Oryzias latipes: one gene and its partner. The protein of the gene in region 1 interacts with the protein of each later gene in a pairwise test. Links are inferred from orthologs where the notes say so. Each region holds a gene or a part of one and is shown on either strand. Other genes may lie near its edges. The genes, in order: exoc2 and ras-related protein Ral-B.

Region 1 (3,820 bases):
CTGTGAAGGAAGACTGGGTTGTAGACAATGAAGGAATCACCAGCCTGGTACGTTATATATAATGTATATATATAATGTATATATAATTTTTAGGAATTTAAGAACTTTGGTTATAAATATAATGATCAATGAATTACTATTTATACATTTTCAAAAGGACGCTGTTAGATTGAAGTTTTGATTACAAGAATAATTTATTATTCTTTGCATGAACTATTTTCATTTTTGATCTCTGTGATTAAAATTTTTTTAACATATTACTTTTTTAAAGATATTTTGCGCAAAAGTCAAATTCATTTAAACTTGTAAAAATTGTTTTTCTGTCTATGGATTTTATGGACCTTTAAAAATAAATTAATATTCAAACAAAGGTATCAATCTATTTTGGAAATGAAATGTTGTAAATCAGCTTTTTGTGCTTAAAGCATAAATAATCATCATAACTACTTTACATCCAATATAAATATTGTTTTTCTGTCACCCCCTCAAAAGTAAGTACTTTCATTCATATGAATGAACCTTTCTTATGTTAGTTTAATATTTCTTTCTTTATTTATTTTTTAGCAAATTTTTCTAGGCTAAGTTCTAAATGTTCTTTAATACGCACCATAATATTGCTTGGATTTTTTTTTTTTAAATGTTTAAAAGGCTTCAGTGTTGTCTTCTAAAACTATTTCCCCTGTGTGTTAAAATAACCAGCACACTTATCAAAGTTCACAAGTTCCTTCAATGATTAAAAAACAAAAAAAACGTTTTTGTAGCCAAAGAATCAAACAGCTGTAACAACATTAACTGGTACTCTTTTAGCAAAAACTGTGGTTATTCAATTTAGTGTGGAAAATCAGTTTGACGAGGACTGCAGCAGTTCTAGCTGTGAATTTATAGACTTTTATTTACATTGGGAACAACAAGAGCATCAAACATGGTGCAAAAGCATTCAGTGAATTATTTTTGCATCTCACATCCAAAATGGCTATTTTACTCATCCTTTTTACTCAATTACAATCCCTTTTACATTATCAGACAGAAAGGAAGGAGAGATATATTAAAACTTTGTAAATGAAACAATGAAGTAAGACGGATAAACACTAACAGCACTTTTAAATGTGCTTAAAAATAAGCTAATAAAAGGGTTATTATTATTAAGGATAGATCCAAAACAAAGAATTTTCTTGAAGTTCATACCAACTGTGTACAGTATTTTACTTCCATCCATCAGTTCCATCACCTCTTCTTCCAGTTTTTTTTAATCTTGAGTCTGTTTATACTCTCGTTTTTGCAGCCTTACCACTTTGAACAGTGCGTGGTCCAGATGTTGCAGTCCTTCAAAGAACCTCTGGAGACCAAACCAGGAGAAATCAATGTGAGATACTTACCCACAAATCCCTTTGGCTCAATAGATTCATTTCTAAAGGTTCTAGTGTATTTTTTTCTGTTGAGAAACCAAGCTAGAAAGGTAGTGCATAAAGCTTGAATTATTTGGTTCTGGGTTTGTTCCAGTGCTGTTGATATTCTTCCACAGGTGCTGCAGTTAGACCAGGTCCAGGACCAGGCAGCAGAGCTCATAGTGACCATCATGACGGTAATATGATATGCAGATGCCCACAGAGCCAACATTTAACTGGTTTTACTAAGGAAAAATGTTCAGACATGTCAGCATGATTTGAGTCCAGACATTTGCTGAGACATGTTAGTTTTTGTCAGATAACCTTATCTGTTATATTGCAACAATTTATGGAGTTACAGTATACACAAATAAATTTGTGACTCTGGCCCTAGGGCAATATGAAGCTTTAAAGTCCCACTCTGATCATCTTTTGTAAAAGTGTTCCCAGTGGTCTTTTAATTATTATTATGCCGTTTTAGCCAAAATATTCAAACCTGTGTTGTTTTCTAGGATATAGCTTCTGCAGAACAGCATCAGTTCATTAGAATTTCACGTCTGAGTTGTGGGCGGGACAGTCCCATCCCCCTTCCCCTCCCTGTTTCTGAGAGCTCTCTGTTTACACTCTCTCCCGCTAGCTTACAACCCCTCCCATCCCCAACCTAACATTACATTACCAGCATACCAAAAATGCTAAGCAATCTCAGAGCTGTCCAGCTATAAAGTTTTGAGCCAGCGTAGATTAGCAACCCTGCCCCCCTTCCCCTCCCGTTGCAGAGCAAAGCAGGAAACTTGTAGCCCCCCCCAGTGTATTTTCAACATCACAAACAAGTCTATTTCTAACGCCTCCTGCTTCACAATGACTTGAATAAAGAAATACTCAGAAATGTAATTTTAAGCTTAATTTTCATATTATTTGTCCTCCATCTTGAGAAAAATGAGAACCTGTTAAAATGACCAGAAACCCCATTTTCCATCGGAGTGGGTCTTTAAGCCAACTGACAGACACATGAGATCTTCAGCTACTATTAAATCTATTGACTGTTGCTGTAAAAACTGTGTTACGGTGTGTGTTTCTCTCAACACGCCTGACAAATGTGTTGAACTTAGGCTTTTATAAACTGTCTGGAGCAGCTGAGCATGAAAACGGATGGAGACATCCAAGTCTCTCAGTGAGTATCTTTTTAAAATGATCTTTGAGATGATTGTGCTTTAGGGAATGATTTTAAAGTTGTTGGTTTGTCTGCAGCAACATTTCTGTAGATCTGTCCTCTCCAGACCGCTTCGCAGCCGCCCACGAGGACTTCAGTCCAACTTCAGTAAGCAAAATGCCGTTTCTCTGACTTCCACTCAGCAGTTTGGGGTCCACAACTGACAGGGGCCAGAACAGCCTTTGACACATGTTGACGAACGCGGGCGGCACACTCGTCAGAACCACAAACCTTTATCTGTCTGTTTCCTGGTTGTGGACACGCAGCAGCTACGTCCTCATTTCCTGTAACTCGTTTTGAGAGGTTGGTGAAGGGGGTTAAGCGGTGGGGTGGAGGACGGGGTGGAGGAAGAGCAGGGTATGAAGTGCTTCTGGTAAAGGGAAATGGAGCAAGGTGCAGACGGGGCTTCCCCAGCCTGAATGTGTGCAGCGGGAGTCAGGCAGCCGAGCTCGACTACACAGCGCTGAAGACCGGTGTGAACTGAGGGGTCGGAGCGTTGCTCGATAGGGAGGTGCTAAACACGTAATCTCTCTTTTCTGTTTTCGTGTTCGCCTCAGCAGAGGATAAACAAGGTCTTTCTAGTAAAGTAGAGAATTTTTCAAAATAAAGCGTCAGCCCTGTATGAGTGTCTGTGGGTTTGTCCTTCATTAAAATGAGCTTTTGTGTTATTTTGTCAATTATCATTTTTTTATGTTGTGGTTGAAAGTATACAAGTATACAAGACAATAGGGAAGATTTGAAACTATGTGATGATATTGTACTGTTATGCAACCCGAATCTGAAATTGTGTTGATCTGAAAAAACACAAAACAGGCCTTGAAGCTGCAAATGCATTGGTCTCTGCTTCCGCTCCTCTGAAGAGCCAAAACTGCTGTGAAGCTCTCCACAAATGTGAGCAGGATGTAAACATACAGTGGTGGACAAGATTGTTGGTACCCCTCAGTTAAAGAAAGAAAGTCCACAATGCTCATTGAAATGACTTGAAACATTCAAAAGTAACAATAAATCCAGAGTGGACTTCATGGGAGGTGACCAAGGAGGACACCACTGTTGAAAGGAAATCATAAAAAAGCCAGACTGGAATTTGAAAAAATGCATGTTGACAAGCCACAAAGCTTCTGGGAAAATGTCCTTTGGACAGATGAGACCAAACTGGAGCTTTTTGGTAAGGCACATCAGCTCTATGTTGGTAGACTCAAAAATGAAGCATACAACGAAAAGAACA
Region 2 (4,497 bases), on another chromosome or scaffold:
TGGACAACAACCTTTAGCAGCAACTCCCTTCTGCAAAAACACTGCAAGAACGTCAAACGGTTTCTGTGACTTTCAGGACAGAAAATGAGATCTGACCTTGACGTAACAAACCCAAATGGAACATGACGTTTAGAAGAAAATCCCCTCCTGGTGAAAATTCTCTCACATGATGTAGTTTGATTTACAGCCAGAGTTTACAAAAAGAGGTCATTTTGTGATGTTCTGGCACCACCTGGTGGAGAAGACGGTTATTGCACCTTCAAAATCATTGACCTGAACCACTTCACCAGACCCAAACAGCTTTGGTTGTTAAGTGTATTGTTTGACCTTATCAGTTGTGATTTACGTTAGTGCTGTCATACACAGCACTAACGTTTTGTTTTAAAGGATTAATTACTGATTACCTGTTTGTAATCTGACCTAATAACTGCTGAGGTATTTTTATTTACATTTGTGACATTGTGGTGCAGTAAAAGATCCAAATAGTTTAAAAAGTGACAGTGGACAGTAAACTACATTTGATTTACGAAAAACAAAAATAAAAAGGTATTTGCAAGTCCTTTTTTTTATTTATTTATTATTTTTGAGCACAATACAAAACAACACCAGAACATTTACATAAAATTCCCAAAATATGGTGGATACAAGAAAGCATAACGCAATTTGAGAGGAAGCAAAAAAGAAAATTCTTATCAGTATGCATACATAAACCTATCCATATTCATAATCATAGAGAAATTAGGGAAAAGTATAACATAAGAAAACAACAATTTCAGAGTTGGATAGTGTTACAAAATGCAGGGGAATACAACAGATAAATAAATTGTCTCAGATACTGGGAATATCACGCAAGGTGTCATAAACTGTTATGGCTTTAGGTGAATCGATTAACGTTATGGATTGTAAGTATAAATTGACCTCATTGGTAAAGAAAGTAAAGCTGGGATGACATTTCTGTAACCTATTTTTGTGTATAAAAAACTTGGCTAAGCATAACGCAGTGTTGATACATACATTATTTACATTGTTGTGTAGTGACAGGCCAAAGATTGTTACTTCTTTCGAAAAGAAGTCCATGATGAATGGGAATTTATTTTTTAACCATTTGCAAACATCCAACCAGAACACTTGTACAACACCACACAGGAAAAATGTGTGGTCGATGTCTTCAACAGCAGTTTGGCAGAAGGAACAGCTGTTGTCATCAATGTTGAAACGTAATCTAAGTAATTCTTTGGAGGGATAAATATCATTCATAATTTTGAAGTGTGTTTCTTTAACTTTTGGGGAAATATGAAGTTTCATGAAAGCGGTTCTTTATTTAGTAACATTTTGTTCAAATTTCTGCAGTATATTGTTTTTGTTCTGTCGTCCAGGAAAAAAACCTTTCAGGTATTTGCAAGTCCAGTTATTTTTCCTCCAACGGAAATCTGTCCTGACGTCACTTCCTGCCGTTCGGTCTGAATTGACTTCCGGAAGGCGGGGACTGCTGCTGGCAGCAGTTTTGTAGCTCCGATGCTTCTGTCAGTCACAGGGAAGCAGCCGGGAGGAGAGCATCTTCTGAAGGCTGAAAGTACAACGTGTTTTTTCGGTAAGACATGTTCAAACGGATTGGAAGAGGTGAAGCAGCTTTGTGTTTCTGGGTTTATGGACATGTAAAGAAAGAAGCGTCGCGTGATGTTAAAGGGGAGGGAAGGTGGCTGACAGAGAGATGACCGCCCCAGAGAGACAGACAGAGCCGTAACTACTCAGGTTTTTATGTGTTCATTGCTATTTGTTCTCATCTGTCTGTTGGTTTCAAATAAATTAGTTTAAAGTTCGGTTATCCATCAGTTTTGTGGTTTTGAGCGGACTGGCTCAGTCGTTCCCGTTAGTTCCCTGGCTGCGCGGCCGTTGCTAGGCAATAACGGGTTTAAGTCCGGGTCTACCGCTAGCTTTACTGCTGTCGTTCCGCTTCTGTCTGTTAATGTTTACGGGAGTTCTGGATAATATTCTCTGACCGAACAGCTTATGATATTCAGATGGGAGGACATGCCATCATGTTGCCGTTTGAATGTCAAAACTAAAACCTATTTCTGGTCAGATAACAAGCCAATACTAGTCTATAAAAAACACCGACCGGCAGGTGTTTTCTAGATCCACCACCTTTCATGCATTTGATTATTAGCAGACTTGAAAATCAGATGCAAATAAAAGTTGCTGAATCTATTTTCTGTGCGAATACATAAAAGTGAGCTGTATGTTTGCAGATGACAGTGTTGTGTGTCAGACTGAAGGACTCTGTTGGCAAAGCAAAACACACCTTTCCCAGTCTGAGGAACACTCCCATCAATAGGAATCCCTTAAAATGTATTTTAAATGTTCCAGCAGGGATATGAACTGCCAGTGTTCAATTGCACACGGACGCCCCCGTGCCCCCCTCCCCTTCGTCATAAACGACTCCTTCAGACAATGCTGATCCCAGCACATTCCCAGCAGAGTCAGGAAAACCAGGACCTTACTCAGCTTTTTTCCAGTCCCTTTGCAAAACCTTAAAGATACTTTGAACTGTTTTTGACACATGCCCATCACAGAAGACTATACTTTAGTGTAACTAACTTTTTTCAATTAGAAAAACAACTAATGCAAAACACTTTGCATGTAGATCATCTCAATTAGCAAGTAGTTTCAAAGGCTCATGTTGCATTTGGTCATATTTCTAATCATCTTGTTTTATTTCCAATCGTCAGATGTAACCAGATTGTAAAAAGATAAGAATCATTTTTTCTGGATCCACTCTGCAGTCCTCGCCACAGGTCAGCAATAATGTGTTTTATTGTGTTAATTTAACTTTTCAAAGCTTTTCGATTTTTATCGCCTTCATCTCTTTTGCTTGATTTTAAGCTTTTTGTATAAAACGTAATCATCTTTAATTTTTTTTTTTGAAGAAGCTCTAAATCATTGAAAAAAAAGTATTTAGTGTGTATTTGTGTTTCTAAAGAATCATCTGGCAAGAAGTTTTGTCGTGGATAAAGAAAACTTATTACACATAAGCAGAAAAATTATATAATCCAGTTTTTCAAATCTAATTTTAAATATTTTTACTGCAAGAATGAGAATGTTAAAAGTCGTTTTCAGGTCTTTACTTCTCAGACATCAGTTGGAAATATCTAGTCCAGCTGAGAAACGTTGAAACTTTGAGCCATAACATCTTCATCTTCCCACAGTTCCTCACTCCTTCTACCCTTTTACTGACATGTTCACACACCGGCTCTCTGAAGATGCTGTTTGGTGCTCCAGTCAAGGACAGCGTTGAAAACACTGATGTTTCTCACGCACTGATGGCAAAAACGGAAAGGTTAGCTTTCACGAAACAACCCGCTATCCTAGTATTTTATAAATAGACACCAGTGTTTAGCTGTAAACACAGAAGTTGACCTTCAGCCCTCTCAGGTCTTTCAGGCCCAAATAGAAAATGTTTCCTCTGGAGCGTTGTTCGCGTTTGCTGACTGGTTAACTGAAGGCATTGCAGGACCTAGGCTCTGTCCCAATTCCCACCCTAACCCCTAACTGCTAAAAAACTTTATAGTGCAGCAGAATCTAGTGCCGTGAATTTTAAAAGCAATTCGGACACCATGCTCACTACTTTTCTTTTTTTTTTAAACGGCGGATATGACGTCATCAAATTCACATTGTTAAAATTGTATTAATATGAGCAATTTATCAATCCACTGTTTTCTGAAGATAAAAATGGTTTATTAAAAAAATACATTTAACTACATTTTTGGGCGTAAATTGTTCCAACGCAATGGATTGTGGTCTATATTCGCCAATCTAGTGAGCATTGATGCACACTAGTTTTTCGCAGAGACTTCTGGGAAATTTTTAGGGCATTTTGGAATCGCATTCGGACAGCACCACAAAATGTCGACGGCACTATACAGGGCACTATGTAGGGAGTAGTGAAGGAATTCGGACACAACCCTGATAAAGAAGGAATGCAGCTTCTGTCCTGTCAGTTAGTGAACGGAGCGATTCTCCTAGCAGAAGTCAAAAGGTTTGTGTCCAACCCGATGCTGAAACGCGAGCGCCTCCCTGCTTGTTCTGGATCCTTGATTGCTGAGGCAGATGTGTTTGGACACCACGGTCCTGTTCGGCTTCAGAGGGAGAGCCAGCTGTCTGATGTGAACGCAGAAGCCATTTCTGCACACATTCTGAATCCTGACCCCCCCCCACACCAAACACATCTGATGCTGAAGTTGAGGGATTTGAACAAACGGGGTTTAGGTCTCATTGCCCAGTTTAGTCAAAGGCGTCTCTGTGTGCTGCTGCTGCCGGGGCTTGTTAGTATTCGTCGTGCGATGCTTTTTGAAAATGTTTTCTTTGCTGCTGCGTGGCGTCCTCTTAAGAATAGTAAATCGTTTCCTGATCTCCATAGGCTGTGGCTGTTGTAGATGCTGGATCCCAAAGACCAAACACATTTCTGCTCGGCCCCGGGAGGGATTTGCTGTTAAATTA

What was found.
Region 2: the proteins of exoc2 (region 1) and ras-related protein Ral-B interact in a two-hybrid assay, tested with the Homo sapiens proteins (2 studies listed by BioGRID). The link is inferred for Oryzias latipes from reciprocal best matches to the Homo sapiens genes EXOC2 and RALB.

The regions. Positions count from the first base shown.
Region 1 is NC_019862.2:21,224,424-21,228,243, forward strand, and holds part of exoc2 (exocyst complex component 2), read left to right. Parts: coding exon 1-47; intron 48-1,282; coding exon 1,283-1,363; intron 1,364-1,522; coding exon 1,523-1,582; intron 1,583-2,494; coding exon 2,495-2,556; intron 2,557-2,633; coding exon 2,634-2,703; intron 2,704-3,820. UniProt on the Homo sapiens protein: Component of the exocyst complex involved in the docking of exocytic vesicles with fusion sites on the plasma membrane.
Region 2 is NC_019870.2:7,306,671-7,311,167, reverse strand, and holds the start of ras-related protein Ral-B, read left to right. Parts: upstream 1-1,448; 5' UTR 1,449-1,591; intron 1,592-2,729; exon of another isoform or gene 2,730-2,795; intron 2,796-3,206; exon of another isoform or gene 3,207-3,337; intron 3,338-4,497. UniProt on the Homo sapiens protein: Multifunctional GTPase involved in a variety of cellular processes including gene expression, cell migration, cell proliferation, oncogenic transformation and membrane trafficking.